4 linked regions of the Rattus norvegicus genome follow. The protein of the gene in region 2 purifies or fractionates together with the protein of the main gene of each other region. This does not show direct contact. Links are inferred from orthologs where the notes say so. Each region holds a gene or a part of one and is shown on either strand. Other genes may lie near its edges. The genes, in order: Fn1, Lgals1, Itga4 and Met.

Evidence for each region.
Region 1: the proteins of Lgals1 (region 2) and Fn1 purify together in Homo sapiens (affinity purification with mass spectrometry; 3 studies listed by BioGRID and IntAct, with this or other methods). This does not show direct contact. The link is inferred for Rattus norvegicus from reciprocal best matches to the Homo sapiens genes LGALS1 and FN1.
Region 3: the proteins of Lgals1 (region 2) and Itga4 purify together in Homo sapiens (affinity purification with mass spectrometry; 3 studies listed by BioGRID and IntAct, with this or other methods). This does not show direct contact. The link is inferred for Rattus norvegicus from reciprocal best matches to the Homo sapiens genes LGALS1 and ITGA4.
Region 4: the proteins of Lgals1 (region 2) and Met purify together in Homo sapiens (affinity purification with mass spectrometry; 3 studies listed by BioGRID and IntAct, with this or other methods). This does not show direct contact. The link is inferred for Rattus norvegicus from reciprocal best matches to the Homo sapiens genes LGALS1 and MET.

The regions. Positions count from the first base shown.
Region 1 is NC_086027.1:80,663,487-80,671,341, reverse strand, and holds part of Fn1 (fibronectin precursor), read left to right. Parts: intron 1-162; coding exon 163-252; intron 253-1,388; coding exon 1,389-1,658; intron 1,659-2,993; coding exon 2,994-3,110; intron 3,111-4,205; coding exon 4,206-4,370; intron 4,371-5,054; coding exon 5,055-5,210; intron 5,211-6,418; coding exon 6,419-6,532; intron 6,533-7,360; coding exon 7,361-7,630; intron 7,631-7,855. UniProt on the Homo sapiens protein: Fibronectins bind cell surfaces and various compounds including collagen, fibrin, heparin, DNA, and actin. Fibronectins are involved in cell adhesion, cell motility, opsonization, wound healing, and maintenance of cell shape.
Region 2 is NC_086025.1:112,361,955-112,370,378, reverse strand, and holds Lgals1 (galectin-1), read right to left. Parts: upstream 4,685-8,424; 5' UTR 4,649-4,684; coding exon 4,640-4,648; intron 3,423-4,639; coding exon 3,343-3,422; intron 2,158-3,342; coding exon 1,986-2,157; intron 1,787-1,985; coding exon 1,640-1,786; 3' UTR 1,578-1,639; downstream 1-1,577. UniProt on the Homo sapiens protein: Lectin that binds beta-galactoside and a wide array of complex carbohydrates. Plays a role in regulating apoptosis, cell proliferation and cell differentiation. Inhibits CD45 protein phosphatase activity and therefore the dephosphorylation of Lyn kinase.
Region 3 is NC_086021.1:84,592,871-84,600,725, reverse strand, and holds part of Itga4 (integrin alpha-4), read right to left. Parts: intron 6,956-7,855; coding exon 6,870-6,955; intron 6,172-6,869; coding exon 6,109-6,171; intron 6,020-6,108; coding exon 5,882-6,019; intron 2,410-5,881; coding exon 2,298-2,409; intron 567-2,297; coding exon 472-566; intron 1-471. UniProt on the Homo sapiens protein: Integrins alpha-4/beta-1 (VLA-4) and alpha-4/beta-7 are receptors for fibronectin. They recognize one or more domains within the alternatively spliced CS-1 and CS-5 regions of fibronectin. They are also receptors for VCAM1.
Region 4 is NC_086022.1:46,821,082-46,828,936, forward strand, and holds part of Met (hepatocyte growth factor receptor), read left to right. Parts: intron 1-2,269; coding exon 2,270-2,430; intron 2,431-4,534; coding exon 4,535-4,637; intron 4,638-4,746; coding exon 4,747-4,883; intron 4,884-5,556; coding exon 5,557-5,718; intron 5,719-6,444; coding exon 6,445-6,544; intron 6,545-7,855. UniProt on the Homo sapiens protein: Receptor tyrosine kinase that transduces signals from the extracellular matrix into the cytoplasm by binding to hepatocyte growth factor/HGF ligand. Regulates many physiological processes including proliferation, scattering, morphogenesis and survival.

The sequences.
Region 1 (7,855 bases), on a different chromosome or scaffold from region 2:
AGTGGCCCTTCCTTGCAGATTATTTCCAGATGCAGATGCTCATTTAGCTACAGGTAGGCTATGGGACCAAATGCGTGGACATTTTATCAGAGGAAGGAGTCCAGGGAGCGCTGTGCTTTCTCATGCTCTCAAGGTTAAAGCAAATCCCACTTGCCTCTTCAGATCTCCTGCCTGGGACTGAGTACTTAGTCAGTGTCTCCAGCGTGTACGAACAGCATGAGAGCATCCCTCTCAGAGGAAGACAGAAAACAGGTGAGCCATGTTGACAACCCCCGGCTACCAGCTTTAAGCAACGGAATGATAGGTCGAGTCTGAAAAAATGCGTCTCCACCTTTTGTGGGGTTGGTACATTACTTTTTATTAATCAATCAATCAATTTCAGTTATCATAGAGGAGTGTTTTCACATGCTCTGTTGACCTACCTCTTCCGTTCCTCTCCTTGCCCTCCTGCCACCCTTCCTGGTCCCCTTCCTCTCTGTAGTAATGTACAACCCCCCTTTTCCGCTCTCATGTCACCTTGTCACCTCTATTCTCTGACCCTTTTCAACCTCTCCCACTTAAGGCATCTTCTTTTCTCCCCACATTCCCTTTTCAGGATCTATTCTCTGCACATGTGTGTAGATGCTCCGTACACACATGAAAAATTAAAATCTAGGATCCACATATGCGGAAACTCATTATTTGTCTTTCTGAGGCTGGATGGCTTTGTTTTATATAATAATGTTACTTTGTTTAACATGACAATGGAGTTCCCTCTGTTTCCTGGTGAATGTCACTGGGTTCTTATCCTAGTTAGAGTTGTTGTGCTGGCTTTCATAAAACACCAGGATCAATAGGAAATTGGGGAGGGAAGGGCTTATTCGCCTTACACTTCCACACTTTAGTCCGTCACTGAAGGAAGTCAGGACAGGAACTCAAGCAGGGGAGGAACCTGGAGGCAGGAGCTGATGCAGAGGCCATGGAGGGTGCTGTTTACTAGCTTGCTCCCCATGGCTTGCTCAGTCTGCTTTATTATAGAATCCAGGACCATGAGCCCAGAAAAGGCACATCCACAATGGGTTGGGCCCTCCCCTGTCAATCACTCATAAAGCGAAAGCCCTACAAGCTTGCCTATAGCCTGATCTTAATAGAGGCATTTTCTTAATTAAAAGTTCCTTCCTCTTAGATAGCTTTTGCTTGTGTCAATGCTAAAGCCCTTGGAAATATCAGTATTTCGGTATAATGTAGAAACTGACTTTGAAAAAGAAAAAGAAGACATGCGTGTGTAAACCGATTGAGGTCAGCTATCGGTACCGCATAGCAGGGTCTGTCGTGTCCCCCCACATCGTCCTGGATGTCTAAACTGGTGGTTGTTGTCTTTTGCTCCCCTCCTTGGGTGGGAAAAACAGGTCTGGACTCCCCAACTGGTTTTGATTCTTCTGATGTCACCGCCAACTCATTCACCGTCCACTGGGTGGCTCCTCGGGCCCCCATCACCGGCTACATCATCCGCCATCACGCCGAGCATTCTGCCGGAAGACCCAGGCAAGACCGAGTGCCGCCCTCAAGGAATTCTATCACCCTCACCAACCTTAATCCGGGCACGGAGTACATTGTCACCATCATTGCTGTTAATGGCAGAGAGGAGAGCCCCCCACTGATTGGCCAGCAATCCACGGGTAATGTTGTTTTTTAATCTGCAAAGAAATTCCCTGGTGTGGAATTCCTATGGTTCCGTGTAGGCTATGAGAGAGCTTCATGCCTTCTGAGTCTGCATCCCTGGAAAAGTAGACGGTGGCAGGAGACACTCAAAAAGCAGTGATGGAACCAGGCACTGCAGTGCACGCCTGCCTTTGATCCCAGCACTCGGGAGGCTGAGGCAGGTGGATCTCTACAGAGTGAGTTCCAGACCAGCCAGAGTTATACAATGAGACCCTGTGTCTCAATGAAAAGGGGAAGAGGGCAGTGATAGCCTGTGTGTGTGTGGCAAAAAATTTCTCCCTCTAAGAATACATTTGAAAAGAATTTTTTTTTCTTCGGAGAAATTGTCACTTGATTTGGCTATGCTCTGGTGATCTTGCTGGTCAGTTTTTATTTCTGATGTTTTGAGAGAGTCTCCTAGCCCACACTGACCCAGGACTGATGTAGCCCGGGCTTAATCTAAGATCCTTCGCCTTGACTTCTGGGTGCTGGCCTTAGAGGCATGAGCTACTATTGGATCTTTATTGGTTTTTAAGAAGATTGCATTCAAAACATAATGTGGTACCAAATTTAGTGTAAACCTATGATTTTTTTTTCTTTTAAGGTTGGGCTTGGTAGCACAGATGCGTATGTAATCACAGATACTTGGGAGGCTGGGACAGGAAGGCCCTCCTTGTCTGCTGAGAGTTCAAAGTTAGCCTGTGCAGTTCAGTGAGGCCTTTTCTTGAGATAAATAAAAGTTTTTTAAAAGGCTGCGATGGGTGTCGCACACTGGTAGAGTGCTTTGTGTGGTGCGAGTCAGGCTAGACTATGTCTTTAAGCACAGATAGATATATTTTCAGGGACAGTGATTAGGAGACCTGTTATCAAAACCATCTGTGGCTTAGCTCTGAATAGGGGTGCGCGTGACCACTTTCCAAATAGCACATAGTTAAGCATGCATGGGTGGGATCTCAGTCCCAGGCCAGCCTGGTCGACAAAGCGAGTTCCAGGACAGACGGGGCTGTTAACACAAACTCTGTCTCAAAGAAGAAAAAGAAAAAAGAAAAAAAAAAGTGCGTGGGTGGGGGTGCCTCTGTAGGTTTTTGTTGTTGTTTTAACTTATGTGATTTAAATTGTTTTCCAAAGAAAATGGTGAGGAAAAAGAATTCACAATTCCCTTGACCTCTCCATAGATTTCCATTCTGCTAATTCCGTGTTGCATTTAGATGTTTGTATGAAGGAAATGTAACCGTTATGTAGGAAAAGACAAAGAGTGGATCTGAGCTTTCTTTGGAAGTTATAGCCATGTCATTTTCCTGTGATTTTTCTAGTTTCCGATGTCCCGAGAGATCTGGAGGTCATCGCTTCCACCCCCACCAGCCTGCTCATCAGTTGGGAACCCCCCGCCGTCTCTGTGCGCTATTACAGAATCACCTATGGAGAGACAGGTCTGTAGACTGTGGGCCATCTCACCCTATGGGATCAGGGTCCAGGAGGGTAACTTGGAAATCTGACAGTGGGTGCAGGAGTAAATGCTAGCAGGCCCACTTAGAAAACCTCTTTTTCTTTTTTTCTCTTCAAATATGCATTGGAGCTGTGTTTAATTGACTATAATATTAAGTTCAAGGGTTGTTCATGCACTACAGCTGGGGTAGAGAGCAGAACTGAGAGAAAGAATTCATATATTCACAAATATTATCTCGTTGGTAACTCTTACTATTTTTTCTTTTCAGTGTTTTCTTTTTTCTTTTCTTTTCTTTTTTTTTTTTTTTTTGGTTCTTTCTTTTTTCGGAGCTGGGGACCGAACCCAGGGCCTTGCGCTTCCTAGGCAAGCGCTCTACCACTGAGCTAAATCCCCAACCTGCAGTGTTTTCTAAATTTAACAAATATTCTGTTAACCCTTTTGTAAAGAATGCATTTCATTCCATTTTGGGTCGAGTGACCCACATTCTTGTCCCCCTTTTCTATTTAATTTTAAAAAATTGATTAAAAATATAATTATATCATTTTTTCCTTCCCTTTCCTCTTCTAAACCATTCCAGGCCCCTCTCCCACCACTTCTCAATTTTGTGGCCTCTTTGTCTTACACACACACACACACACACACACACACACACACACACACACACACACGCATGTACATCCAACACATATGTATAACTACAACCTACTGAGGCTGTTTAGTGTTACTTATGTGGATGTGATTTCAGGGCTGACTACTTGGTATTTTATTATCAACCAGGGAGCTCATTCCTGGGGATTTCTTTACCTTTTGCCTGTTAATCTACAACTCAGTGACATTTTAACCCAGGGATGTTAAAATGTCATTAGCTTGAGCGTTCTCCTGGTTTTTATATACTTATCAGGCCTTCCTTACTACACGCATAAATACACTTGCCTGTTCCGGCTAGGTTAAAGCAGCCTGATCTCTTTATGAAGGAACCTGCAAGCCCAGTGATTTACAGACTGCTTTAGATGTTCTAATAATATTGGAGTCACTCATGGCTTCTCAAATTCTCTACTTACTAACTCCTTTTACACAGGAGGAAATAGCCCTGTCCAGGAATTCACTGTGCCCGGAAGCAAGTCCACCGCCACCATCAACAACATTAAACCAGGAGCAGACTACACCATCACCCTGTATGCTGTCACTGGCCGTGGGGACAGTCCAGCCAGCAGCAAGCCAGTTTCCATCAATTATCAAACAGGTAAAGATTTCTCTTCTGGGGTAACACAGGGTTATTTATGAAGATGGTCATCCCAGATAATATATCTATGTCTATATCTATATTTATATATCATCATGTTAAGTTATAAAGCTTATTGTTGAATATGATTTTACTGCAGCATGCTAAATTGTTTTTCATTTTTAGTATATATGTTATATATTATATCAAATATATATATCTCAATATATATCCATATATATATCTCAAATGCTATATCACTGAACTATACACTCCACCCTGTAGCTAACTAACAACACCTACAAGTAATAGAATCTCGAGACAAATGTACAAAGAAGACCCTGAGAGCAGACATTTTCGTCTGTTTTTAACTGCTACAGTCATTTATCTACCATAGACATAGAGAGTATTCATAAATACTTGTAAAAAGTGACTCAGGGGTTGACTGAATAGGAGACAAAGGCCTGCCAGACATTCAGTGTTTGGTTTGTGGAATGAAGGAATCAGGTTGAAACTAGTTGTCATAGTGTCTGGATGCATGGCTTCCCTTCTTCAAGCTGATGCCTTTCTTCTTGTCAGAAGAAGCCTCTGCAGTTCATTCACAGAAGCAAAGGTCATTTGCATGCACTCTAGAACTACAGGCAAGGGCGTGTCCAGTCCTGCCCCCAAGTACTGGGATGTCAGTGCTTTCTTTTGTCCTTACAGAAATTGACAAGCCATCCCAGATGCAGGTGACGGATGTCCAGGACAACAGCATCAGTGTCAGGTGGCTGCCTTCAACTTCTCCTGTGACAGGTTACAGAGTGACCACCGCTCCCAAAAATGGCCTAGGACCAACAAAATCTCAAACTGTCAGTCCAGGTAAGAATAACCAGAATGTTACACCATGCAAGATAAACACAGTAGGAGCTCAGAAGTTTCCGTTTGAAGTGAGTGTCCTATGTGGTGTTTGTATGGTGCTCCCATTCACAGACTGTTGTCATTGTACAGTTCTCCCATTCACAGACTGTTGTCATTGTACGGTGCTCCCATTCATAGACTGTTGTCATTGTACAGTTCTCCCATTCACAGACTGTTGTCATTGTACAGTTCTCCCATTCACAGACTGTTGTCATTGTACAGTTCTCCCATTCATAGACTGTTGTCATTGTACGGTGCTCCCATTCATAGACTGTTGTCATTGTACGGTGCTCCCATTCACAGACTGTTGTCATTGTACAGTTCTCCCATTCACAGACTGTTGTCATTGTACAGTTCTCCCATTCACAGACTGTTGACATTGTACAGTGCTCCCATTCACAGACTGTTGACATTGTATGGTGCTCCCATTCATAGACTGCTGCCATTGTATGGTGCTCCCATTCACAGACTGTTCACAGGACAAGCATTGGTATCCATGTATTTTAGGTTTTATTTTTTTTTCTACTGTCCTGGGTAGTAGTATGGAAACTATTTAAATCCTTAGTCACTAGGAAGAGAAGGATGTACTGACCCTGCAGAACCTTCTAGATCTGATGTTCCTATTATATAAAATGGCTTGCAAGATACATGATCTCAAGGCAATTTCTTAAGATCAATTTAATTTCTTTCTTTATTCAAGAATAGCCTCATTAATTAGGGGGCACGGTGTTAAGCTGTAAAGCTTACTGTTGAATATAATTCTACTGCAGCATGCCAAGTTGTTTTTGAGACTGGATCTCATGAAGTTTGTGCTGGCCTGGACTGCATCACGTAGGCAAAGACGACATTAAACTTCTGATCTTCTTGTCTGTATCTCTTAAGTGCTAGCACTCCGGGCACACAGTTTACTGTACTACTCACTATCAAAGCTGGGTTTGTTCATGGGAACAGCATTCTGCTAATGAGGCCACGCTCCCCAGCCCCAATGTTGTTACCAATGGACAAGTTTTCCTAAGAGGAAAGAGGCATCTGGCTTTTCCAAGTGGAATGGGTGTTTCATGACTGATCAGCAGATGAAAATCATAGAGTCCGCACCTGCTTCTCACTGAGCTCTTAGGCGTGTCTTGGGTGGCTTTCTGGACCTACAATTGCTTCCCTTTCCCTTCCAGATCAAACAGAAATGACCATTGAAGGTTTGCAACCCACCGTGGAGTATGTGGTTAGTGTCTATGCTCAGAACCGGAACGGAGAAAGCCAGCCCCTGGTTCAGACTGCAGTGACCAGTACGTAACCAACGCTCAGTCTCTACCTCCAAAGTCATATTGTTCTCGGGTGTTTCAGTCCCCCCTGCACATCTCATGCCATTCTATCCAGGGAGGGCAGTGTGTCAGCTGGTTCATATCTTGAGATGAGCCCTTGGCAAACATTCTTCTTGGTGCCACATAGTGAGCTTGCAGGAAAAATCATTGTAGCGTTGCCGTCAATGGCTGCTGTGCTTTGAATCTCCTTCGCTTAAATGGCCTCGGCAAAAATCTTATTTGCTTTTAGCAAATCTATGAAATATTTCTCCAGGGCCTACTTTTTCTATGACTGGATGGATGGTAACGTTGACGGTAGCACACCCCGAAAAGTGGTTATGTTTGAAGGACTGTGGCTGGGTCAGCATTTTAATAGAAAGACTTAACAGAGGGAGAAAGAAGACTCTGAGATGGATTATGTGTATGGCTTGAAAAGTCAACTTTACCATTTCCAAGATGTAGAAAATCCAGGTCTTTGAGACTAACATCACATTGCAAAATCAAATCTAGAATATCTTTACGTTGATGCAAGGAAATTTCCTTTGTGGAGATTTTTTTTCAGGGTGTCCGCGTGCCTCGCTCACACCTGTGTTTTAATGGGTAACGTGACACCGCATACGCTAAACCTCAAAAAGGGAAAAGAAAGCCTTTTAAGCAAATGTGTCAGGCGACTTTCTCTTATAATCGTGTGATAATTGGAATGTAATTCATCAAAGAAAATGGTATCTGCAGAACTGCTTTGCATGGTATAAGAAAATGCTTGTTTCCCAACTTGCTTTTCACATAACCTCTTACCATTAATTTGCCTAACAGACATTGACCGCCCTAAAGGACTGGCATTCACTGATGTGGATGTCGATTCCATCAAAATTGCCTGGGAAAGCCCACAGGGGCAAGTTTCCAGGTACAGGGTGACCTACTCAAGCCCTGAGGATGGAATCCATGAGCTTTTCCCTGCGCCTGATGGTGACGAGGACACGGCAGAGCTGCACGGCCTCAGGCCGGGTTCTGAGTACACAGTCAGTGTGGTTGCCTTGCACGGTGGCATGGAGAGCCAGCCCCTGATTGGAGTCCAGTCCACAGGTATATCGGTGACTGCACCGCTGGGTGCTTCTGGGAGCAGTGGCTTTACGCCTTGCTGACGTCATACTTTACCGGGCTAATGATTCCCACGTAAGGGAGAGTGGGAAAACGCCCTCGAAGTCATAGGAAGGGCCCTCTTTAACGAGGAATGGTAGCATACCATAAAAGTTAGGTTATATTTAGTGAACTAAGTCTATTCAGAAGAAATTTAAAGTAGCTAAGCAT
Region 2 (8,424 bases):
GAAGACAGTCTGAGGCACATTTTCTTTGACCCAGCAGAGGGCCATTCCTCCACAGCCACACTTGGGAGCCTCAGAAAAGCACAGTGATTGGGGTGTGTTTCATGGGAGCCCAAGGCTTATGTATTCCATTCTCTTTGGCCTTCTCCTATGGGTACCCCCACTTCCTGGACCCACCACCATGAAAAGTCTTCATCTTGCTGTGGATTGGGAAACTGAGGCTGGGGGATGGACCCTACCAAGAGGGTGCCAGTTGTCCCAGAAAATGAGATGGCACATCTCACAGGCACCCACCTCCCAGCCTCAGGATATGAACCCCGGATTTGAGAGCTGGAGAGAGCCCAGTGAGGTTTATAGTTGAAGCCTTCCAGAACCTTGGCTCAGTTCCTGCAGCTGTTTCCTGGGAAGTGGTGACACTGGTATGGATGAACAATGGTGGCCCACCGGTTTGATGCAGTTAATTGCACTGGATGGGGCAGGCCTCAGCTAACAACCACATCCCGAGGCAGCAGAACCTGAGCTGAGGGCAGGGGAAGACACCCACTGCTCTGGAAGGCAGGAGCAAGCTTGCAGTGAGCCACCTGCCCTCTGGAAGACCTGCTTCTGGGCCTTCCCATCCCATTCCTCACCCCACGTCTCCGAAGGGACCCACTCAGAGCCCCCAACCACATTACAGGGCTGTGACCTCATCCTGGATTCCCATTGTTAGGGAGGGGATCTGTTCAGTGCCACAGAGTTAGCAGCTTCTAGCCTAGGCCTCTAGCTGCCCTTTGACAGCAGAAGAATGTAGCCGAGGATCATAGGACTAGGAAGCCTGCTTCACATGTGCTCCTCAGCTGCTGGTGCGTCATTTTGTCCCTCAGAGACCGTCTCTTCCCCTTCCCTTTGTAGGCAAAAACAAGGTAGTAGTGTGAGGGAGACCAGAAGCTACCCACATGGCATTGGCCATGATGTACCCAGAGCAGAACTTGGCTTCCACTAAAATCTCCTTTAACTCCACGACCCTCCCGAGAACTGCATAAAAATGATAAACTAAGGCACAGAGAGACCAGCTAACAAGCACAAGGCCACACAACAGTTGTAGCCCCTTACCTAGTTCAAGATTCCTCCGTTCTATATGAAGTCATGCTATGTTGCCCCAGCTAGCCCTAAGTGGTCCTCTTGCCTCAGTCTCCCAAGTAGTTAGCAGTACAGAACTGCACAGCTAGTCCCAGCTGCCTCCAGTATGTAGACCAGGCTGTCCGGAATGGTCTCAAACACACGACGATGTGTCTGTCCTGGCCTCCTAAATTTCAAGAATGTGTCACCATGCCCTTTCTGGCCTTTATGGAAACAAATGAAGTCCTGTGTTCTGTTCATTAGTTCACCTCCCACCATTCTGCCCTGTTGCAGTGGTACACTGGTTCACACTCTGCGGTCACTAAGCCCCCTCTATGTGCTGGGCTCGCCTTAGCCTGGAGAGCACAAGAAGAAAGGTCACTGGGACCAAGAACACGTGGAGGAGTGAATGGAAGTGCAGATGGACCAGGTTGGGCAGGGCCCCTCACATAGACATACACAAACACTCACACACGAAGGGCTGGGTTACAGGGAGCAGAGGCAGCTGCCTTTATTGGGGGCTACGGGCTGGGGCTGGCTGGCTTCACTCAAAGGCCACACACTTAATCTTGAAGTCACCATCCGCCGCCATGTAGTTGATGGCCTCCATGTTGAGGCGGTTGGGGAATTTGAATTCATGCCCGTCTGGCAGCTTGATGGTCAGGTCAGCCTGGTCAAAGGTGATGCACACCTGGTGGATGGAGAAGGGCAGTGAGCTGGGGCCTGGACCAGCTCAGAGCCCTGGGGATGGCCCCTGTATAGGTGAGGTCCATTATGTTCAAAGAGGGATGCCATTCAGTGGTAATCACACAGCCAGGACGGATCAGCCTCCGCCTCTGACCACATTGTGCAGTCCACCCAGGGCCCTGCCCAGCCCCAGTCCTACCCACCTCCGTGATGCTCCCAGGCTGGAAAGGGAAGGCAGTCTCCCGTTGTTCTGTTCCCCAGGTCCCATCATCCTTGCTGTTACACACAATGGTGTTGGCATCTCCATGGGCGTTGAAGCGGGGGTTGAAGTGTAGGCACAGGTTGTTGCTGTCTTTCCCCAGGTTCAACACAAAGCTAAGGATGACAGGTGGGCTTTAAGCCGTGTTGCATGGCTCTAGCCCCTGGCTGGCTTACTGAGAAAATGCAACATCAGCAGCTGGCCACTAATGTGCCCTGGTGAAACTCAGTCAACAGGAAGGCCAGGAACCTGGATTCTACTTCTGGCCTCACCATGCGAACTGAGCTAGACCCTGCAGATTCTCTCTGACCCACATTTCCTTCCCTGTCTGTCAGTCAGAGGGCTTGTCCTGAAGGGAGCTCTCTCTCCCAGACATTGATCGTTGTCACCCATCATCTTGTGTATCTGAGTCCCTGGTGCTGAGCACAGAGTGGGACACACCATAGATGTTCCCTCACTGTGGAGAAAAAAGAGCAAATAATAATTCGGAGTTTGCTGCACGGAGCCTGGCAACAGTGCTCACCATGGAGGTATGGGTGGGAAGAGGAAAGAGGGCTCGGGAGCTTACTAACATCTGACAACAGACAGCAGCAGCTGCCGCCTTGAAACTGGCCCCTGGCTCTCTCTACTCCACCACTTTTCCTCTGGCTTTATTAGGAAACCTAGGCTCTTAGGGGTGTGGAATACGGAGGTGCACACTTTCAATCCTAGCTCTGAGGAGACGGAGGCATGTGGGTCTCCGTGGAGGCCAGCCTGGTCAACATAATAGGTTCCATGATAGCCAGGGCTATAAGGCAGACTCTGTCTTTGGAAAAGAAAAGAGAAAAAGTCGAGACCTCTTAAGCTTGGGTGACTGGTCCAAGCTCACATGGCTGCTGAAAAATTAGGCGGTATGAATGAGGGGAAAGCTCTGGGGGGGAAAAAAAATTGAGCTTCAGCAGGGCCGCCGCAGGCAGCAGGCACGAGGGTGACCACGCCCTCCTCGCCCCCCCCCCCCGCGTCCCCCTCCTTCTCCTCGGAAGGGGCGGGGGCAAGCTGGAGTTGAGGCAGCAGCTGTTTTAGTTTAAGAAACTCCAGCGGGGAGAGAGGAGGTGGGAGGGAGGGGGAGACCACGGCGATGTCGGTCGACCAGACCCGGCGAGGAAATGACTCACCCAGAAAACGCAGCATCTGCAGCTGCCCATTAACCCGCGGCGGGGTTAGGTAGGGGGGGGAGAAGCGGTTCTGGCCGGTCACGCCCATCGCATTTTAGGTCTGCGAACCCCGCCCCCTGCCATCTCCATTCCTTTCTCCAATCTCACCTCTTGGCGTCCGGGGCCAGCTCTCCCCGAACTTTGAGACATTCCCCAGGTTTGAGATTCAGGTTGCTGGCGACCAGACCCTGTGTAGACAAGACCACCCAGCTGTGTTTAGGTTGGAGTTAGGAGCGACCTACAGTGGCCTGGGGTGTGGGAATGGGGTCATTTCCACCCTGGGATACCCTGACCAACCCTAGGGGAAGCCCAAGGTAGGATGGGTGGTCAGGATAGGGTGTAGGTTCTAGTCTTGATTATCCCTGCAGTTGGAGAGAGTCCCCATTCCCAGCAGGGTGTCAAACTTGTGGCTGTCCTACAGAACAGGCCCTAGAAGATTCACCCATCATCAGCTTGGGGATCTGGACTTAGAGTGGAGGGGAAGATGGCATATGACCACCTAAATCCTCATTTAGCTGATGGACAGGGTTAGGCGACTACTAGCCCAAGGCCCTGCTTCTCTGAGAGAATGCAGCCCGAACCTCCGCAATCTGATTCAAGGCTCTCAGTCCAGAGGCACAGCAACTAGAGCGGAGAAGCTAAGAGGCGGGCCTGCTCTGCGGGAGAGGACAGACTGAGAGTGGCAATGTGGACTTAGTAAGTTAGAGAGCCCAGCATTTATCTGGGCATTGCGCGCAGCTGCCTGGGTGAGTGCACAGGAGTTAATTTGGGTAAGGAGTTTCTTTGACATTTGAACCCCATTCCGGAGGGCTTGCCTGTGTGTCTGTGTGTGCAAATGCATGCAGTTTCCTCGGCTCAGACCTGACCAGCTTCCACTGACCAGCCTGCCGCCTATCTCGGGCCCAGGAGGTGTTTTTTGTTTGTTTTGTTTTGTTTTTTTTTTTTTCTCCAAAAGTTTTCTGGAGCAGAGGGTGACCAACTGAGCCCTGGCTCTGTGATTGGGGACAGCTGCAGCGGGGGAGGGGTCAGGAGACTCTAGAATAGAGCAGAGGGAATAGTGAATGGCCTTGGACAAAATGTCCCCCTGCCTCCTTCTTCCTCGGAGGCCACACCCTTCCCACTCCCACTTCTCAGAAAACTACAAAGTGGCAGAGTACTGGACCTTGCAAGACATGCCACAACTCAGAGAAATCCAGAACATTCTTAACCCAGAGAGGCTGAAAGTTTCAGGGGGGACTATGACAGCCACCCCCATTTTACAGATGTAGCCAGTGAGGACCAGAGAAAACACCTGTCCAAGGCTGCACAGCTGGGACTAGAAGCAATTTCCCAATTGGCTACTCCCCTGTGTTCATCTGCTTCTGCTCAATCCCCTAGACCTTGGAACAGAGGGTCCCGCACTCACACAGGCCATGATTGAAGCGAAGAGATTCCTGCGACCTGCTCCACCAGCTGTCAGAAGACTCCACCCGAGAGATGGGCCCCAGGCCCGCTCCGACCTTTTTAACTGGATCAGACCCGGTGAGTCCCGCCCCTCCCCGAGAATTCAGCCAATTGCCTGTCAGGACAGGGCTGGGGGTCACCAGAAGCGGAGTCAACGGATTTATAAAGTCAATTTGGAGCAGAGGTGACCAGTCAGAGAGGAGAGCCCCTCTCTTAGTCCCTCCCTCAGGGTCCAGGCGCCGCCTCTTATTCTTCTTCATCCCTCTTCCCACTAAAAAAAGATTTGTGCTGTGGCAGAGATTGGGGGAGCCAGTGGAAAATAGTTTAAGGATGAGTTAAGCTCAAGAGTTGGCGGGATGGGGCCTGGGGCCAGCAGGGAGAAAGCCCCTGAGGCCCAGCGCAGCTGGTGGGGAAGGGGGTGTATAGACACCCCCCCACCCCCCACCCCCCACCCCACCCCCGCCTGCAGAGCATTAAAGCAATCTCTTAAGAGGCTGCCGCCTGGCAGGCCAGGGTGTGGCTCTCACTATTGCTCCTTCTGTGGGCTTCTGCGGAGGGCTGAGGAGGACCACAAAGCACAGGCCCCACCCGGGTTTTCCCCGGAAGCAGAGGACTGCCGCTGCGGCTCAGTGCTGCTCACTAGGGCTGGGCTGGGCGCCAGGCCTGAGACTATGTCCTTGGCTTATACCTTGGATTTCACCCCACTGCAGGGCCTGGCTGTGACATCCCTGGGGCCTGAGAGGCAGACCTCGAGGCAGCCCAGGATGTGCTAGCTTTGCACCCTTGGTCTCATTCTTATTTTTGGAGAAGAGACATGGTCATCCCTTCCCATCCATTTAGCAGTTATTTTCCTGAGCACCTACTATGTGTCTAGCCCCGTGCTGGCCTCAGAGAAGATGAGCCTCTCCTAGTCTCTGCTCTCAGAATTCACGGGTTGGAAAGAATCTGACTATGAGCTGAAATAAGAAATAACACCGTGTTGGCATCGGGCAGCCACTCACTCAGGCCGGGTGAAGATGGGCATATGAAGCAGGGGCTGGAAGCCCATGCCTGGGGAATGAGCTGCTTACCATGTAGAAGAAAGCTGAGAGTTAAGGATTGTGAAGGGTCTCATTGGCCAGGAAAAGGGTTTTCGTGTTCGTTTACCTGAGAGTCCTGGGGAGCTACAGATAGTCATGGGGTGATATGAGACTTAGGAAGGCTCACTGAGCAGAGCGGAGGGTTTGAGATAAAACAAGGCACTTCAAGGGTGCTCTTGCCAAGACGCCTGGACTCCTCCCGAGCGCTAGAAGGTTACTGAAAGGGCGAGTTTGCCCTCTCTGCCTTTGTCTTGTATCTGTCTCCTTTCCTTTGGCTCAGACTCCGCTTGACTCAGCCTTCCTGACCTAACCCTTCTGAGCCAAAGGCACAAAGACAAGTCACTGTCTCAAACCAGCCCAGCAAAGACTTGTGGGGCAACTGCTTCCCCACATGAGGGCCGGTGTTCCCCAGGTAACTCTGTACAGCACACCCCCACACCCAGGAGCGGGAGTGACCCTCTCCCGAGAACCCACATGTCCCCTTAAGCGATGCGACCTCTTTGAGCCATCTTACAAGGCCAGTCTGCTCAGGTATGCATACCTCTTGCTGTCTGTGCCAGTTCTTCCAATATTTAAACTTAAAATACATACAATGGTGGCTCGTGCCTGTAACACCAGCACTTGGGAAGCTAAGGCAAGACAATTAGGAATTCCAGGCCACCATCTGCTACATGAGACACTGGCTCAAACAGCTAGCCAGGCAGTGATGGTACACACTTTTAATCCCAGCATTCAGGATGTAGACACAGGCAGATCTCTTATGAGTTCAAAGGCAGCCTGGTTTACAGATTGAGGTTCCAGAATAGTCAGAACTACATACAGAAACCCTGTCTCCAAAAACAGGGTAGCCATATTGAATTAATCCTTTTGTATTTTTTTTAAAGATTTATTTATCTATCATATATATGAGTACACTGTAGCTGTCTTCAGACACACCAGAAGAGGGCATCGGATCTCTTTACAGATGGTTGTGAGCCACCATGTGGTTGCTGGGAATTGAACTCATAACCTCTGGAAGAGCAGTCGGGTGCTCTTAACCGCTGAGCCATCTCTCCAGCCCGTGTATTTTTTACCATTGCTGCCCTAGCCTCTTTTTAGACAAGAGTCTTTTAAAGATTTACTTATTTTATGTATCTGAGTACACTGTATGTTACTGTCTTCAGACACACCAAAAGAGGGCATCAGATCCCATTACAGATGGTTGTGAGCCACCATGTAGTTGCTGGGGACTGAACTCAGCTCTTAACCAATGAGCCATCTCTCCAGCCCTAGACAAGTCTTATGTGGTACAGCCTGGCCTCAACTTGCTGTGCTAAGGATGACTTTAAACCTCTGTTTCTCCTGCTCCTGCCTCTCAAGTTCTGGGATTTCAGGCCTGTGACAACTCAGTCTTGATGGGGACTGAACCAGACCTTCACTGGTGCTAAGAGATCATTGTACTAAATAGTTATTTCTTTAATGGTTGTAGAAGCCAAGCTCTACTGGTTGGCTATGAGAGCCCCCCTCTCCTACCCAAAAATCTCTGGTTAGCTAGAGGGGTATTCAGCTCACACTGGGGAATCAGGTGGTGGTGGCGAGGGCAACAGGGAGTCCATGTTGCCATTCCCCTTCTGAAACTGCCATCTTGGAAGAGTCGTAAAGATAAGGAATCGTGAGTCACATCTGGAGGCCAGGCCAGCAATCCTCCTTGCCCTACCCAGCCTTTCCCTCCCAGGCTCATCTCTAGCTCCTTCCTCCAGATGTGGAAAGCCCACCCAGAATGGGAGGAGAGGGGAGCCTGCAGGGCACAGCGGAGATGCTGTCAGATCTGCAGCGAGGCTGGGCTGCCCCATCATCCCCAGCCCCGCCCTCAAGTAACCACCAGGGAAACTAACCACAGCAGCTTCGGTCTTCCCTCTGAGGCCTCCCCAGACTTCAGTTACAGCCTGGCCAGTTCCTCTACAGTTCCAACTGTGTGTGCCCCTCTCCCACATCAGGCAGGGTTCCAGGAAGAGGACCAGAGAGGTGAGGCAGGCAAACCCAAGGGCTGAGAGCTCAGGGCTCCAGGAGACGTCCCTGACAGGTCATGACTTGAATAGAAGGCCTGTGTCTCCAGGAAGTCTCTGAGGCCTGAGGACACTTCTCTGTAGGTGCTGTCCGAGCAGGCTGGCCACAGAGGAGCATGGTATGAGGATCAGTCTCTGGACTGGGGCCTGGAGATTCTGGTTTTGCCTCCATCCCTGCTTGTTCAGTTTCTCCATTTGCAACTGTACGTGTAAGTCCTGCTTTCCTTACTGAGGGCACCATAGGGCAGGACTCAGGTCTGTGGCCCTTCAGAGGTGACCTTTGCCTTGAGACAATCGGATGCTGTAGCCCAGGCTGGTCTGGAATTTGAAGCAGTCCGGCCTGCGATAACAGGTGAGAGTTCACCATACCTAGCTGAGCTTAGGTTTTACAGTCCCCTTGTTGACTTTCAAGGTTACCTTCCTTGGTGTCTGGTTAACCCTCTCCTGGGGCCCTCTCCCACCTGAGCTGTGGTATGGATTTGCCAGATGCTAATGGCCCCTGTAACAGGCACTGTGGTTTTTAAGGCAGGGTGGACAGAGATAAAGTCCTTTCTGTGCTCCACACCCTTAAGTGCTCAGGGCCTCCTGGTGGTGGCACCTACTTATCTGTCAGGCCCAGTGCC
Region 3 (7,855 bases), on a different chromosome or scaffold from region 2:
AATCTTTTCTTCTCAGAATGTAGGTCTTTTTCTATACTGAAATGCCCTGAGTTGTCAGGATATAGAACTGAAATGAGAGTCTTGTCGCAAAATTATATTAAGATGGTATTAGTTTAACTACTATACATGGAAAGAAACGAGGTCTTAGGAACGCATTTCGCTCCCTGTGCTAGCTCTGTAAAGCATAAAGCTTTATCTGTAAGGAAGAACAATTGATATCTAAGTGGGCAAACTTGGAAAAGAATAGCCATTGCCTTGAGAACATAGATATGTTGTCACACATAAAGACAAGAATGTGAATGGATTGGAACACTAATGGAAATCCGAGAGTTAAAATAAGACCACTTACCAATATTATACAGTGAAATAAAAATGGTAAGTATTTCAGAGAGAAAACAAGTCCACATTACCAGTCGAAAAACGAGGGTACTTAATCACCAGTACCCTGTGGAAGACTGAATAGTATCTTACCTGTGAGTATGTAGAGGAGATGCCATCTACTCGGCCATTGTAAATGTAGACAGCGCCTCGCAAGTCATCTTCTTGTGGTGCGCCAATAGCAATATCTGTTGGATTTAAATAGTGGACATGGTAGACACTCTCGATGCAAAGAATGAACTTGGAAAACTAGCTTTTGTGATTCTGAAAGCATGTGACACAATGTAAAAACTCCTTCTTATAAGGAAACCCAACCACTCTTCCAGAATAAATTACTCACTTCATAGTCTTCAGGATTATGCCCTAATAGTCCGTGCAAGGAAAATAACAGAGTGGGTGGCTTTGCAGCACATTCTCATAATAGTGAAGCATACAGGGGCTGCAGACGAACCTCAGGACACCCGCCTCAACTCTGTTGCTGTACCCCACTACTCTGTAAATCCCCAGTATTTAATCTATGTGTCTCGTTTCCCCATTTATGGAAAGAGAACACGCAGAGACAAACATGCTCAGTATGAAAGGATGCAACATGTCAACTGCATGTAACGGCATCTGGCATGTTATAACAGGAGATTGTATGACGAGAAGAACCTTGATTTTGAAAGTCTAGACGTTTTTATTACTTTAAAATGGATTCTAAGTCAATTCTTCCAGTGGTGGTAATTAGAGATCACACACATACAAAATAGAATTTCAGAAAATGCCTTGTTTTGTAAAATAATGATAGAATGAATTTATTGTGATTAATGTTGAATTTATGACACTGGGGTGGAAAACATGCTGACTCATCGCATTGCCTAAGTGATGTAAATACATGTGACACGAATGAGGAAAAATTACATTCCATAGCTACAAGAACACGTCATGTTATACCGCATGACTCTATGGGGGCATATTAATGCACTTAATAACGTACAACATTTTTAATTATTTTAACTGATATCTAAAGAATAGAAAGCGTATTTTCATGAAAATTGTCTGAATTTTTTCACAACCACGATGGTAATTTTTGCCTCTTATTTAATACAAACCATATTTTCATTACCAATGACAGTATCAAGAAGATGCAATTCCGAGTCATGAAAACATGAACACTTACTTCCTGAATTGTAGGAAGCTGTTGCACTCTGGGAAATGGTACACTCTCCCTTCACACACATCTATCCTATGTGTGCAGTTTCATGGGATCAATTAACTCCCAATAATAGGCTAAGGAGGTACAGGTAGAGAGGAAGCAAGCCTGATGTCCAGGGTAGAATGCACGGTTAAGACAGTGCCATTCATTTAATCATATAAATGTTTCAGGATCAGTTGGTGGATAGCCAATCCTTTGATTCTCACGGCTGTTTCTCACCAACGCTGTGACTCTCACTGGGGTCTTTCCAGATCCTATAGCAATGCAGCTCCAGACAGTGTTCCTGGCATAGAAGTGATCACCAGAGCATGCTCCCCCTTCGACACCTGACTCAGTTGGGTTTTGTCAGTTTCTGAACTATACTGGTAGTTAAATACCATGGTCCAATGATATAGACCCCTCATGCTTTCTCTCCAATATCAAGATCTTTTTAAAAGAGAGAAAAGATGGATATCAAAAGTTGATAGGCATCATTTTATGAGAAAAGAATGATGCTACTTATAATCAATGACACCTTTAGAATCAATAAAATGCTTTGAATATCCCACTCTAATTAACCTGTTAAAGATCAATAACTGACATAAGATTATCTAAATCTCAGTGGCATATCATTCTTGTCCCCCTTTCAACAAAAAGGCTAACAGCTCAAAACTATGATCACATTTGCTTCCTTGAACTATTTTAAGCGTGGAAATTAAGTACCAAGTCAGAGATTTTTAATTACCTTCAAAGCCATCATTGTCAATGTCGCCAAGATTTGCCATGGATTCCCCAAACCTGGCAGCATATTTGTCACTTCCGACGAGCACTCTTTCCATTTCAACCATCACAGCTCCCTAGACAGGAATAGAAAGAAAGGTGCCATTACAAAACTGCCCGGCAACCGGACACGTGATTTACTGCTATAATTGGATATGGATTTTTCTAATGCGTCAAACCACAGACAGAGCTTCAGTACACACATCCCAGTTCAATTCAATAAATATTTATTAAGTCAACATATATAATAGCATGATTAGAGCTCAGAGGACATGGAAAATGGTCGAACTCATGATCCCTAGCTTTGAAAATCCAATAAATCATTTTGATAATTCAATTTAACAAACACTTATTGAGCTCTTGCTAAAGACAATGCACTGGACAGAGCGAACCAGTGAAAGCAGCCAAGGAGGAATGAGTATGTGTATATATATATATATATATATATATATATATATATATATATCACCGTTTCCTCCAGAACCACAGATACAAGATGGGCTTTATACAAGCATGGACATGACCTACAAATACAAATGGCTTTGCACTAATGAGAAGAAAGGAAAATAATTCTAACTGAAGCAAGGAAGGACTTCCAATAAGGGGCAGGAAGGAAAGATGATCTGAGAGAGATGTCACTCAGAGGTATGCAAGGTGGCTACTGCAAGGAAGGTGTGGTGGCGATGTACAGAAAAAAAAATGTTGAGCAAAATAGCTACATGTGTAAGTTAGACATATATGTTAATATCTGCCACATATTTATTAATTAATAAACATATAATGAACACGATAACAAAAGGCAAACTGTTGTCTTACAGTATACAGCAATTGGATTAAAAGGGGGAATTTACTCTTTCTGAAGGAAACCATAAGAAGCCAGGGGAGGTCTCTGAGATAACAGGTAACATGACTCAAGTGGCCTTTTGGAAACATCCAAACAGCAATGCACTGGTCGACCCTCATCTTGGAAATCAAAAGTGAGCAGTTATTATATATGTGATGAGCTGTCTAATTATGCTGTGATAATGAGCTCTGATAATTCCAATCCAACATTTGAAAAACAAATTCCATGTAGTGCTCACAGGTCTTATCCTCTTCTCAGGTAAATCTACTCTTCATTCCACAAACACACATTCAATGCTTTGCCAAGTCACCTTCACCTTTTCTTTATAACAGAAAATCCCTATTTTTTTCTCTCTGTCTCAAATACTATTTCTTCCTTGAAATACTTTTGGTCCAAAGTAAGGAATGTCTACTTTGAAAGTACTTATCACCTGCCATTTACCATGTTGCATTCCAGTGACTCCTCCATGACTGGCATCTCACCAAATCCTAAAATTCAGGAGTCACGATTGGGATTGTTTTCAGCTTTTTTGAAGGGCCATTTTCATTCTAAATGAATTGAAAATTTAAATTTATCTCTATAGCTGCAATCACTACCATTTACATGGCATGGAATTACATCCAAGGAGCGAAGGATAAAATGGGCGGGCTCCTCAGGAAATAATTCAAAGGAAGAGATGGGGCTTCAGTGAAGACACACAATGCTTAAACCTCAAGACAATGCTGATTTAGAAGAGTTCTAGGAGTAAGTGGTAATTGCTCCTGTTCAAGTATCCTACAGTCATCAAGAATGGCAGCTAAGTGCTCACTGGGGACCCCTGAGAGCGATTTAATAGATTAGGTCAAAACCCGAGTCCTTCGAGTAACCTTCTTTCTTTCAGTTCATTGACAATAATTCTGAAGTGTCTGCCTGTCTAGGACTTGTATGGGCCATGAAACAACAAGGGTAAATGAAACAGATGAGTCCTCTCCCATGTTAGCAGAGGTTCTGGCAGATGAGGAAAAGGAAATGTTAGGCTGCTTCATGGCTAGTGCCATTTCAGAGAGTTTAGAAATGGATAAAATGCAAGGAGAAGAAGAGAAATCCACACTGTGGGATTTTTTTTTTTATTAACTTGAGTATTTCTTATATACATTTCAAGTGTTATTCCCTTTCCCGGTTTCTGGGCAAACATCCCCCTCCCCCCTCCCCTTCCTTATGGGTGTTCCCCTCCCAACCCTCCCCCCATTGCCGCCCTCCCCCCATAGACTAGTTCACTGGGGCTTCAGTCTTAGCAGGACCCAGGGCTTCCCCTTCCACTGGTGCTCTTAAAGTGAAAACCAGTTGCTGAGCTGGTCTCAGTATTCAAGAGCAGTGCTTCTGGGTAATCCGAGGGAAGGGAAGCCTGGTGAGCAGACCCATCCTTTGCTTTCTCGGCATTCCCTTTATCTGTTTGCATATTTGGATGGCCTGAGATTTCAGCAGGAAAATGTTCCTTTACTTTAACAATGATTTTTAGTTACACTCTTTCTTTTAAACATTTCCTCATTAAGAGAAATGTACCAGGTATTTGCCACAAGGGAGAAATGAGAGATACTTGCTGACTAAGGGCAAGTGAGTAGAAAGAAGGCCATCTGCGAAGGGGAGGTGTGGAATGAGGTACAATGTTGTTCGCATGCAGCCATTAATGAGATCTGAGAGATCCCTACCCAGAGGACAATATGTTTTAGTTTAAAGAGAGTCTAGGGAGCCTCTGCATGTGTAACCCTCTAGTCTAGATTCAGAACTTTAAGACTCCCACCCTTCTAAGACTGGAAGCCCTTTCTTTTGCATCGTATAGAGTTCAGCATGACATTGGAAATGAACACTTATTAAATTCTCTGAAAAGTTCGAGTAAGCAGGGTTACAAGTGCACTTGGCTAAACCTCTACTAGAAGACGTTGTGTCCTAGGAAATAAACCTGTTTTCTTAAAAGCCCACTCTCATTTTCAAACTAAAGGACGAAATACTTCTCACGACTTAAAACTGAATGATACTCAGTAACTATCTGACTAAACAATGCAGCCACTTCAGAATAAATGATGCCAACCTCAGATTATTTTAGAATCTAATCCAAATGGAGTGTGTAATAATATTTCATCAACACACCTTATTTGTTTGCAAGTCAAGACGTTGAAAACATTGAATGCTTCATCTCTTCCTAATAGCAGACATTTTGTAACTTGCTGAATTATATAAGGACAATAGTTATTGAGTTATACAAACATCCATTTTGAAGTATCTGCAAAAACCATTCTCCAAATTGTATTTGTGTGGAAATGAAACTAAAGGGAATTTTAATTACTGCTCACGAAAGCTGTGCACGCGGATTCCCTTCACCCTCCATCTGTCTCCCTCTCAGAGCACCAGTACAGCAGTAGAATTCTACTTTGGTCCATCAAAGAAGCTTAAGACTTTATCTTTGACCTGACTAAACTTCTCGGTGCATAAAGAGTGCTTATGAGTGAGTCTCATGATCCAAACTGGATCTCAGGAACATGCAGTAGAAAGAGAGGCCTGAACTCCAATGACCTCCACATATGGACCATGGCATGGATAAGCATGCAAGCGCATGCACCATGCACGTGTGTACATGAACACACTGGCTCAGAACTCTGAAACGAGAGCAGTTTCAATCTGAATTATAATTCACGAATGGCTTCCTGTTTGGGGACCATCGGACATACCATGCCAGAGTTGATGTACACGAACACTCTTCCTTCCTCCCTGATGGTGCTCTGCATAGGCGCTCCAACAAGGAGATCTGAGAAGCCATCTGCATTGAGGTCCACCGCACAGACAGAAGCTCCAAAGTAAGAGCCAAGCTGTTCCAAAGCAAAGCACATGCGCAGTGAGAACACGTGGCGCTGCTCACAGAAGCCCTCAGCAACCCCATAGGCAGAAACGTATTTACCTTTTTACCTTTCATTTCATATACGATGGTCAGTTCGCTTTCATCAATGCTGAATATATATGCCTAAAATTGGGGGAAGAATTCAAAGACATTTACTTTCTTATCAAACTCAACCTATTTTTTAATCAAAATATCAATCTCTACAAGATGTAACTTGACAAACATAAAATATCAAGTGTTTAATAAAATTGTTACCACTATAAACTTTAAGAGTGATATATAATATTAATATTTATATTGATATGCCTGACTTGAAACACTATTGTCTCAGGAACCAACTTTTGGATCCCATAGAAAAGAAAAGGAAAAAGGTGTATCAAAAAAAATTGAGTGCCCAATACTTGTGTAGCAAAGTAGAAAAATCCAGAGCTAGAATTACTTTATTCTATTCTTTCTAGTCTTACCATGAAGCATTACCTGTCTCAACTCCCGCTTATTAAATAATAACCAGTACATTTATTCTCTGGGCATCTATAATTATGCCTTATTATTTATTATCATATTATATTATCTATAAGTTGTTATCTATATATTATCAATTTACTCATAGCAAAGCCTCATTTAATTTATATGAGTCCCCTTAAAGTTTTCCAGTAAATTTCTTTGAGAGCTATAAATAAATCTTGGGCAGATTCAACTGATGCAATATATCGCTCATCATTGTCATCTTATATGTTACAGTGTCCCTTCAACATGTGACTCATGTAATCTATTCAAGGCTTTGTGAAGAAACACAAAGAGGGTAAAAAGGAACGTCTTACTTTTCCTATCTGTTCGTGTTGAGGGGCTCCTCCCACGACTTCGGTAGTATGTGGATTTCGGAAATGACCAGCTCCTACTGAGTAGCCTTCATAAAAGGAGAGAAACATATGACGCTCATCGTTCACAGCAGTTATATGCTTTTCTAACTCTGCATGGAGGTAACCAAAACTATCCAAAATAACTACTTTAAGGAGAACCTCAAAAACGTTTATATTAACTTAAAACGGTCATTTAAGCAATTTAAACACACACACACACATATATATGTATATATATATATATATATTTTAATTCACAAACTCTCAATCTTGACACTTGACCTGTTATTCCCTGTGCAGTATGATTAGCAATGGTCTTCCAGGATTGCAGTTGCAACATCTGAGTACACAAAACTCTGGAGCTTTCAAACGACAATCTTTACACCTTTCATGCAATCTTTCTATTTCGCTGACTTTACATAAAGATATAACTTTACACGATGAGACATAAAGTTGGCTACATTTCCTATAATACTTCAAGCTCAATCACATAAGGAAATGCCTTATGAGTTCTGTTGGAATGATAATAATATATTACTTGTTTTATTAGTGCCCTTTCTGAGCACAAAATGTTCGCATTTAAAGCACATATGGGTCAAATAAGCCTATGCTTTGTTCAAAAATAAAAAAAAAACAAACAAATGAAAAATCTACAAAACATATGTGCTTTACTGTAAAGGAAACAACATTACAAAATTTGTATTTTGTAGAAATATAGGTGACAAATATGATATTCTTGACTTGGGAAATGACAACAATGAGGAGGAGGCAGAAAAGGACAATAAAAATTGTTAAACTCTGAGAAACAATTCAAGATAATCTTGTAAACAAAGCTTCTACAAGGAAAAAGCCAAAATGATAATTTTTAGAAATTTGTCATAATGCTCTCCATCAGCTGGGAGGTTCCTTTAGGATCCATTGGTCTTCATTTGCTAGTCTAAGAAATA
Region 4 (7,855 bases), on a different chromosome or scaffold from region 2:
TGACCCCAGACTTCAAAAGCCGTGAGAAAAGGAGAGGCATTTTCACAGTACAGTCTGGGTGTATCGTGGTGGGACAATCTTCATACGTTATAGGACTGGAGACAGTCTCAGAGACACAATAGAACTGTATCATTGATCAGAATCCCAGATCAGGAGCAGCACCAGACCGGGCCATCAGCATATTTGTGACTTTATTTTTCCTGCTAAACGAGAACATGGCTTCCGGTGGTAAATTTAGTTTTCGATGGTTTTTTTTTTAATGCTTTCTCATATTTTATTTTAATGGGGTGAACCAACATAATTCTAAGGTCTTGATGGAATGGTCCCAGCAGTAATGTGGTCGTTCACCTGTGAAAGGAGAGGAACTGATTTGTGGTAGCATCTCCCCAGCCAGACAGGTAGGAGACCCGGCTGGCTTCTGTGGCTCTGTGCAGAACATTTCCTGCCTGGAGAGTTTCTCTGAACTTCAGGATGACTCCAAGTTTGCCAGCCCATTGTTGGGGCTGTACAAGGGTGTGTGGTCTCCGACAGCCTCCTTCCTTTTCCCGTGGAAGAGGGACAGTTCCTTCATAAGCTACTGGGACAGCATTGGGCTCGGAGAATGCTAAACAGAGCCAACCTTTTTAACTCGGTGTGGGGGGAGGAGGTGGGTGGTGCAGGTTTTACAGTCACTTGTTGTGTTAGTCACTTGTCACTAGTGGCCACAGCTACTAGGCAATGCTGTCCTTTCTCGGTGACTGCCAAGTCTCTCTGCCATTTCATTGGAAGCAATGATGAGGTGTGCTGAGTGACAGGCTTCAGTTTTAACGTGGAGCAGGGGAAAGGCTGGAGGCGGAAGGATCTGGCCCACATGGGCTTGGGCAGCTGTTTTGGAAGGGAGCCTCCTTACAGTGAGCTGCAGCTGCGTGTGAGCATTGGCCTGAAGAGCCCTGGGAGCGACTGCCTCTTCTCTTCTGTTAGGATTGCCCTAGTAAACAGATTTCCCCTCTAGCAGTTTTCATTTCGCCAGACATAGATGAGGTGAATTTTCATGAAAGGCACAACTGTGTAGTGGATTTTGTTTGTCAAACGGCGATTAGAAAAGCATTAGGCTGAGACTTTAGAGGGGGTTGGCAACAAGGGTGCGTTAAGGCATGGGTTTGCAGTTACTTGCTTAGGGAGGGTGGGAATGTGTGCGAACCTGAGTTCTTCTGGAAGTTCTCCTTGACTGTAAGAGTGGCAGGCTTTTCAGTAAGCGCCTTGGCTGGTTCTGAGTTGCCCTGATCCTCAGACTTCATTTTCCCACCATTGTACTTTACAGTACAATTTACAATATGTCCCCCCAAAAGAGCATTTCCTTTCTCAATTGTCACACAGCTCCCCAGGAGAAGATTATTTTTAACTTGGAAACGTGTTCTGCCTAAATAATTTTAGCCTTGGAGTGGCCATCATAAATGCCTCATGTTATGGTATATGGCTGCCACCGTCACATAGTAAGTCCAGGGGTCACTTTTTTTTTTTTTTTTTTTTTTTTTTTTTTCATACCATTTTTTTTTATTTTATTTTATTTTTTTATTAACTTGAGTATTTCTTATATACATTTCGAGTGTTATTCCCTTTCCCGGTATCCGGGCAAACATCCCCCTCCCCCCTCCCCTTCCTTATGGGTGTTCCCCTCCCAACCCTCCCCCCATTGCCGCCCTCCCCCCACCAGTCTAGTTCACTGGGGGTTCAGTCCAGGGGTCACTTTTAACACACCGAAAGTTAGCCTGTTGATCACTGAACATTGCACATTGAGGAAAGACATCTTTACAATGGCATAAAATAATGTTGATAAGTAGAATTAGAAACATCACTACAATACTGATCTGAGGATCTCTCAGTTTAGATTTTTTTTTTTTGCCAGAAAGAGAGTGTTAATTTGTACTATTACAAAACTTCATGTAGGTTCTAGATCAAAGTTTCACCATATTTAAAGCAACTAAATTTTTTATTAAGAAATACAAACTGGTAGACATAAATTGCTTGATTCAGAGAGTCAGAAAGGTATTCAACAGAGGCCCTGAGTTTAGTTCCTAGAACCCGCGTTACATATGTAATGCCAGGATCAGGGGAACAAATGCACTCTTCCGGCTTCCATAGTCAGTGTGCTCACAGACGCAAAGCCACACACAGAAACACGTGTGTGTGACTTTTTCAGGATTAAAATAAATATTAAAAAGCAATACACCATTTGCTTGGTTTCCACGATGTGGAAAATGATCACAGTCTGCTGGGTTTATCGTTGCAGGTTTTCCCCACTAGTGCACCCCTCGAAGGAGGAACAATGCTGACCATATGTGGCTGGGACTTTGGATTCAAGAAGAATAATAAATTTGATTTAAGGAAAACCAAAGTTCTGCTTGGCAACGAGAGCTGTACCTTGACCTTAAGCGAGAGCACGACAAATACGTAAGGAGCATGGTGACTTTGCTGAGTGGCCTTGGGAGATAGGCCGGGTTCTTTAATTGGGTTTTCTGAGAAGAAGAAAAAAAAAATAGTGTTCAACATGTTCATCTATGCATTCACAAGGGTCTTGACCTGTCATAGCATTTGAAGACGTGTTTGGTTTTCTCCTCGTAATCTCATTTTATTAACAGACTAGGAGAAAGGAAAAGGTGGTATGGCCTAGAGCAATTCAGCTTCCATGAGTTGTTTTTAGACTTGTTCACTCGATTTAATCTTTATACAGAGTTGGAGTCTAATATTTGTGTTTATTACTGTAGTTTAGGGTGTTTGGCGAGTGTCTGTGGGTACAGTTGCACATGTAGCATTGTGTGTGGAGGCCAGAAGATGACTTCAGGAACTTGGTTACCTCCTTCCAGTGTAGGTCCCAGGGCTCAAACTCAGACCAGTAGGTTTGTGTGGTAATTGGTCTTCCATCCCGCTGGGCCAGCATCTAGGAGGTTTGAACTACTAAAGTAAAGCCTCTTCAGAAATTGCCCGTACAGTTTGAAAGACTGGGTCTTCCCCTTGAGACCTCAAACGTTGCCCCCCACAAAGGTTTCTCATGAACATCAGTAAACAGCTGGGTGTCTGTCCTCTGTTCATGATTCACCTGCTGGTCCTTGGAACAGTGGCAAGCACTTTTTAGACTCTTTAGATGAGCTTAAATGTATATTCAGGTCATATTCATGGCACTCTGCCATCTGGGTGTCCCCCACATCTTAGGAGGTGTCAGTTCCATTCTTGCCTAACGTTAAGAGAACTAGGGTACAGCCTACCTGAGCGAAGCCAGAGATCAGCGCTCTGTTCTCTGATCAAGACCTGTGCTTAGTCTCCTGTATTCTACACATTCCCTCTAAAATCCCTAAATGCCACAGTGACCAGGTAACCCAGGGATTACTTGTTGGAGTGCAGTAGCAACAACCAAAGTTTCAACAGTTGAATCATTATGGTTGAATCTGTTCTATAAAGTAAATTATCTAATATAGATTCCATTCCATGGTCATCATAAAGGACCTTAATATAATCACCAAAACCAGTCAATGTCAAGCTTGCTAGGCCAAAGGCAAAAGCGAGTTTACTCTAGAAGCATCCCTTTGTTCTCCAAAACTCTTAATTATTAGAATGTGAATTAAGAGCTATAAAGAAAAAGGACAATTCATTCTCTCTTTTTAGAAGTCTGTAAAAACAAATTATATTTAAATTTTATTATATAAATATATATTTATTATATATATAGCTATATAAGATTACGGATAAAAATTGGCACTATTGGTAGCCAAGGAGATGCCTCAGTTGCTAATGCGCTTGTCAATCAAGTATAAGGATCCAAGCTCAATACCCAGCACCCAAGTAAAAAGTTAAGTGTGGTGGTGCTCACTGTTGATAATCCAGCACTGGGGAAGCAGAGACAGGAAGACTCCTAGAGCTTTCTGGTCAGCCAGTCTAGCCTTATCAGGCATCTCCAGGTCCCAGAGAGAGAGCACATTGTAAAACCAAGTAGACAGCCCCTGAGAAGTGACACCCAAGGTTGGCCTCTGGCTTCTACATGCATTCTTGTGTCCCCAACATGGCACAACCATAATAATTTACAGAAAAACTGTCCCAGTAGCATTAGCCTTTAAGTGGTTTAAATAGATTTCTGACGACTACAGTCGTAGAAAATATAGTTGTTGGCATAAATTGGTGAAGAGAGCTGGCTTACTCTATTCGTAGCTGGCACATTACTTCACATGCTGCTGACATAGCAGCAGTCATTATGCTACATGGGCCAAACACCCAAACACATAACTTCACAGACTTAGGTTATCATGCACTTCTTAGCTGGTGAGTCTGCACTGGTGACCTATGAAGGGTCCTACAATGGTCGATATAAAGTTTGGCACCACCATTCAGAAAATAGGATTACATGACTTTTCAGCCTTATGACTTCCATGAAACCGAGCTTACCATTTGGAATCATGAGCTCACAATTTGGAGTTAATGGTCCCATCACGACAAGCAGCCAAACCAGAAAATCAGAAAATGCGTGTGGCTTTGAGACATATTAAGCTCTGCTCTTTCTTTGCAGGTTGAAATGCACAGTTGGCCCCGCGATGAGTGAGCACTTCAATGTGTCTGTGATCGTCTCAAACAGTCGAGAGACAACACAGTACAGTGCGTTTTCCTATGTGGTAAGTCCAAGCTTTGCTTTTAGTCATGACCCGGGATGTTTGGTTTTTTATTTCATCTGCATAAAGAATAGAGCTAACCAGTTCCTTTTTGGTTTTGCCACCCATTCAGGATCCTGTAATAACAAGTATTTCTCCAAGGTATGGTCCTCATGCCGGAGGCACCTTACTCACTTTGACTGGAAAATACCTCAACAGCGGCAATTCTAGACACATTTCAATCGGAGGGAAAACATGTACTTTAAAAAGGTATTGTCGCTTTTTGGTTGTATTAATATCTGTGCCTAATACGCCAAGCCAAGTTCTTTTGCATTTATTTGCACAGAGCATAAAGATGTTTTTATATGATTTTTCTCCTGGTGATTCTCTTCTTCCCAAGTCCAACTGGGTCCTTTTGCTGATTTTTCTATCCTTCCCCTTCTGTTGCTTAATCCCCACTCTGAGTTTTGTCTTGCTATCCACTCCTTCATTGTGGTGAGTCTTATCTGAGCTATATAACGAACTTAAAGCTCTGGTCATTGGCACTACATCAAAATAAGCATTTCTATCAAGATCCAGAGATGAAGAAGGTATGCTGAGGGACGGGATGGGTGAGCTTAGATTTAAAAGGTAGTTTCTCCTCAGGGTGGAAGGAGCTAAGTTTATTCTAGTACCAAATGGACTTTGAAGTTTGCCTGAACCACCACATGTTTTGAAGTCACGGATGGCCTTTCATCAAGGCTAAGTGTGGGAATCTAGCTGGATGTAAACAAGCTACCCTGGGAAGGGCTTTTCTCCTAGGCCACCTCAGAAAATTCCACGGAGTTGTATTTTTCGACGTACAGGTATAATTTTGGAGTATAATATCACTAATAACTAATGTCTGCTATTTACTCTTTTCCTTCCGTTCTTTCTGGCCCTTGGTGTTTTGCTTGTTGTTCAGTGTATCAGATAGCATTCTCGAATGCTACACCCCAGGCCACACCGTCTCTGCCGAGTTTCCCGTGAAATTGAAAATCGACCTGGCTGACCGAGTGACAAGCAGCTTCAGTTACCGGGAAGACCCGGTTGTCTCTGAAATCCACCCGACCAAATCTTTTATCAGGTAAGTGAAAGCTTCTGATCGGTAGAAGGAAAGCAAGAACGGAAGGTTGGCTGAGGAATACCCAGGAGCGTTGCACTTTATCCCTTGTTTAAATGCTGCCGTGTTTTGAGGGCTCCGCTCCAATTCAGCGGGGAACTGCATTTAGGTCCCGCGGACAGTCTGACTTTATCGATGGTACTTCCTGCCAAGAACAATTCTGCCCATTATTCATTTCCTGTTATGATTTCAACACCTAGAGGAGAACAGTTCAGCCTGGTGCCATTGTATATGTGACACACCTATGTCACATACGCTTGCATATGTGTCAGTCCTCCGCCGAGCTGCAGGTCGCCTTTTCCCTCTCCTTTTGTTGTGTTTTGGGATCCCTTTACACATACATATTTCTTCTCTGCACCAGACTCTGTTTTAGTCAGCAGCTATTGAGCATCTCTCGTTTCCGCTTGTTCTGTCAGCCAAGCGAGAACAGTCATGGATGTTTTCCCCTGTATTTTTCAGAGAGAGAAAAAAAAAACATTCTTTTCCACATTTATTCAGTAAAAATTCGGCCATTTCTACAGCTAATGAAATATCTCTTTAAACATTCTCAAATTTCCAAAGAAGAGTTACCCCTGAACTCCCATTCAGCCCTAGCGAGTCCCCTAGCGTGATCACTGAGTCTAAGACTGGGCGTCTACATAGTTGGTAGGACAGCTCTGAATATTTCCGTTTTCCGTTTTATTTGACCAGTGGTGGAAGCACAATAACGGGGATTGGAAAGAACCTGAATTCAGTTAGCACCCCAAAGCTGGTAATAGAAGTGCATGACGTGGGCGTGAACTACACCGTGGTAAGTCCTAGAGTGGCCATTCCGCTCAGAACTCTGCCTGTGTGCTGCCAGGCTTTCGGGGCACAGGGACATTTTGGCTTTGTCTAGTAAGCTGCAGCAGAAGTCAAGTGGTACTTTTAGTCAACAGTAGAATCTTGGGCTGACATTGTAAACATACAAACATACACACACACATACATACACACACACACACACATACACACATACATACACACATACATACATACACACCCACGAATACACACACACACACACACACACACACACACACACACACGTTTATACACCAATGAAGACCTTCAGCATGAGCAGAAGTTCTCAGACTTGTTGGTATACATACAAACCTGTCACAAGCCAACAGTCATCTAGGAAGAACAGTCACAACTGAGAAAGCGCCTCCTCAGATTGACCTGCAGGCAAGCCTCTGGGGGCCATTTTTGTTGTTGATATTGAAAGGACCAGTCCACTGAGTGACGCCCTCCCTAGGTCCTGGGAGGGATAGAAAGGGTAGTTTAATGTGAACCTGGAGAATATGCCAGTATGCGGAATTCCTCTGTGGTCTTTCCTGCAGTCCCTGATTCCATAGTCCCTCCTTGAGTTCCTGCCCTGACGTTCCTCAGTGATTTGAGAGTTGTGAGATGAAATAAACCCTCTCCTCCCAAGTTGATTTTGGTCCTGGGGCTTTGTCACAGCAGTGCAAACCTAATTAGCACAGCCCGAGATGAGTTTCTCACATGAAAGAAGTATGATAGACATTTTTATGAATGAGATGCATAAATACTAGGTTTTAGTCAAAATTATGTATTTTTCTTTTTCTTTAAACATATACTACATGATGCCAATAAGCAAGATAGGCCTATAGTATACATACAAAAACATTATATGTACAGATATTATAGGTAGATGTATTTCTCGTAACACATATAATCAAAGATGATTTCGACTAGTGAAATTAAGGAATTTTAAGCTATTACACACCTCTTGATGAAAATAATAATAATAATAATAATAATAATAATAATAATAATACAAAACACAGAACCCACCCCACTCCTCTGTGTATCTCAGACTGGGATCCAAACCCTTTTCTTTGCATTTCCTTACCATGGTCCTTGTCTCTTTATTAGCACACAGGAGATGCTAATAAAGAACTATTATCAAGTATGTCAATGGTATTTCTCATTTCTCTGCATTTTTTTTTATTTGCAAGCTCAACCATAATCTAACTGTAAAGGTGATGGATCCATCTCTTGCTGTGACAGTTTTACATTAGGTTGAGCCTGGTGATGAGTCTGGAAGACGGAGGCAGGA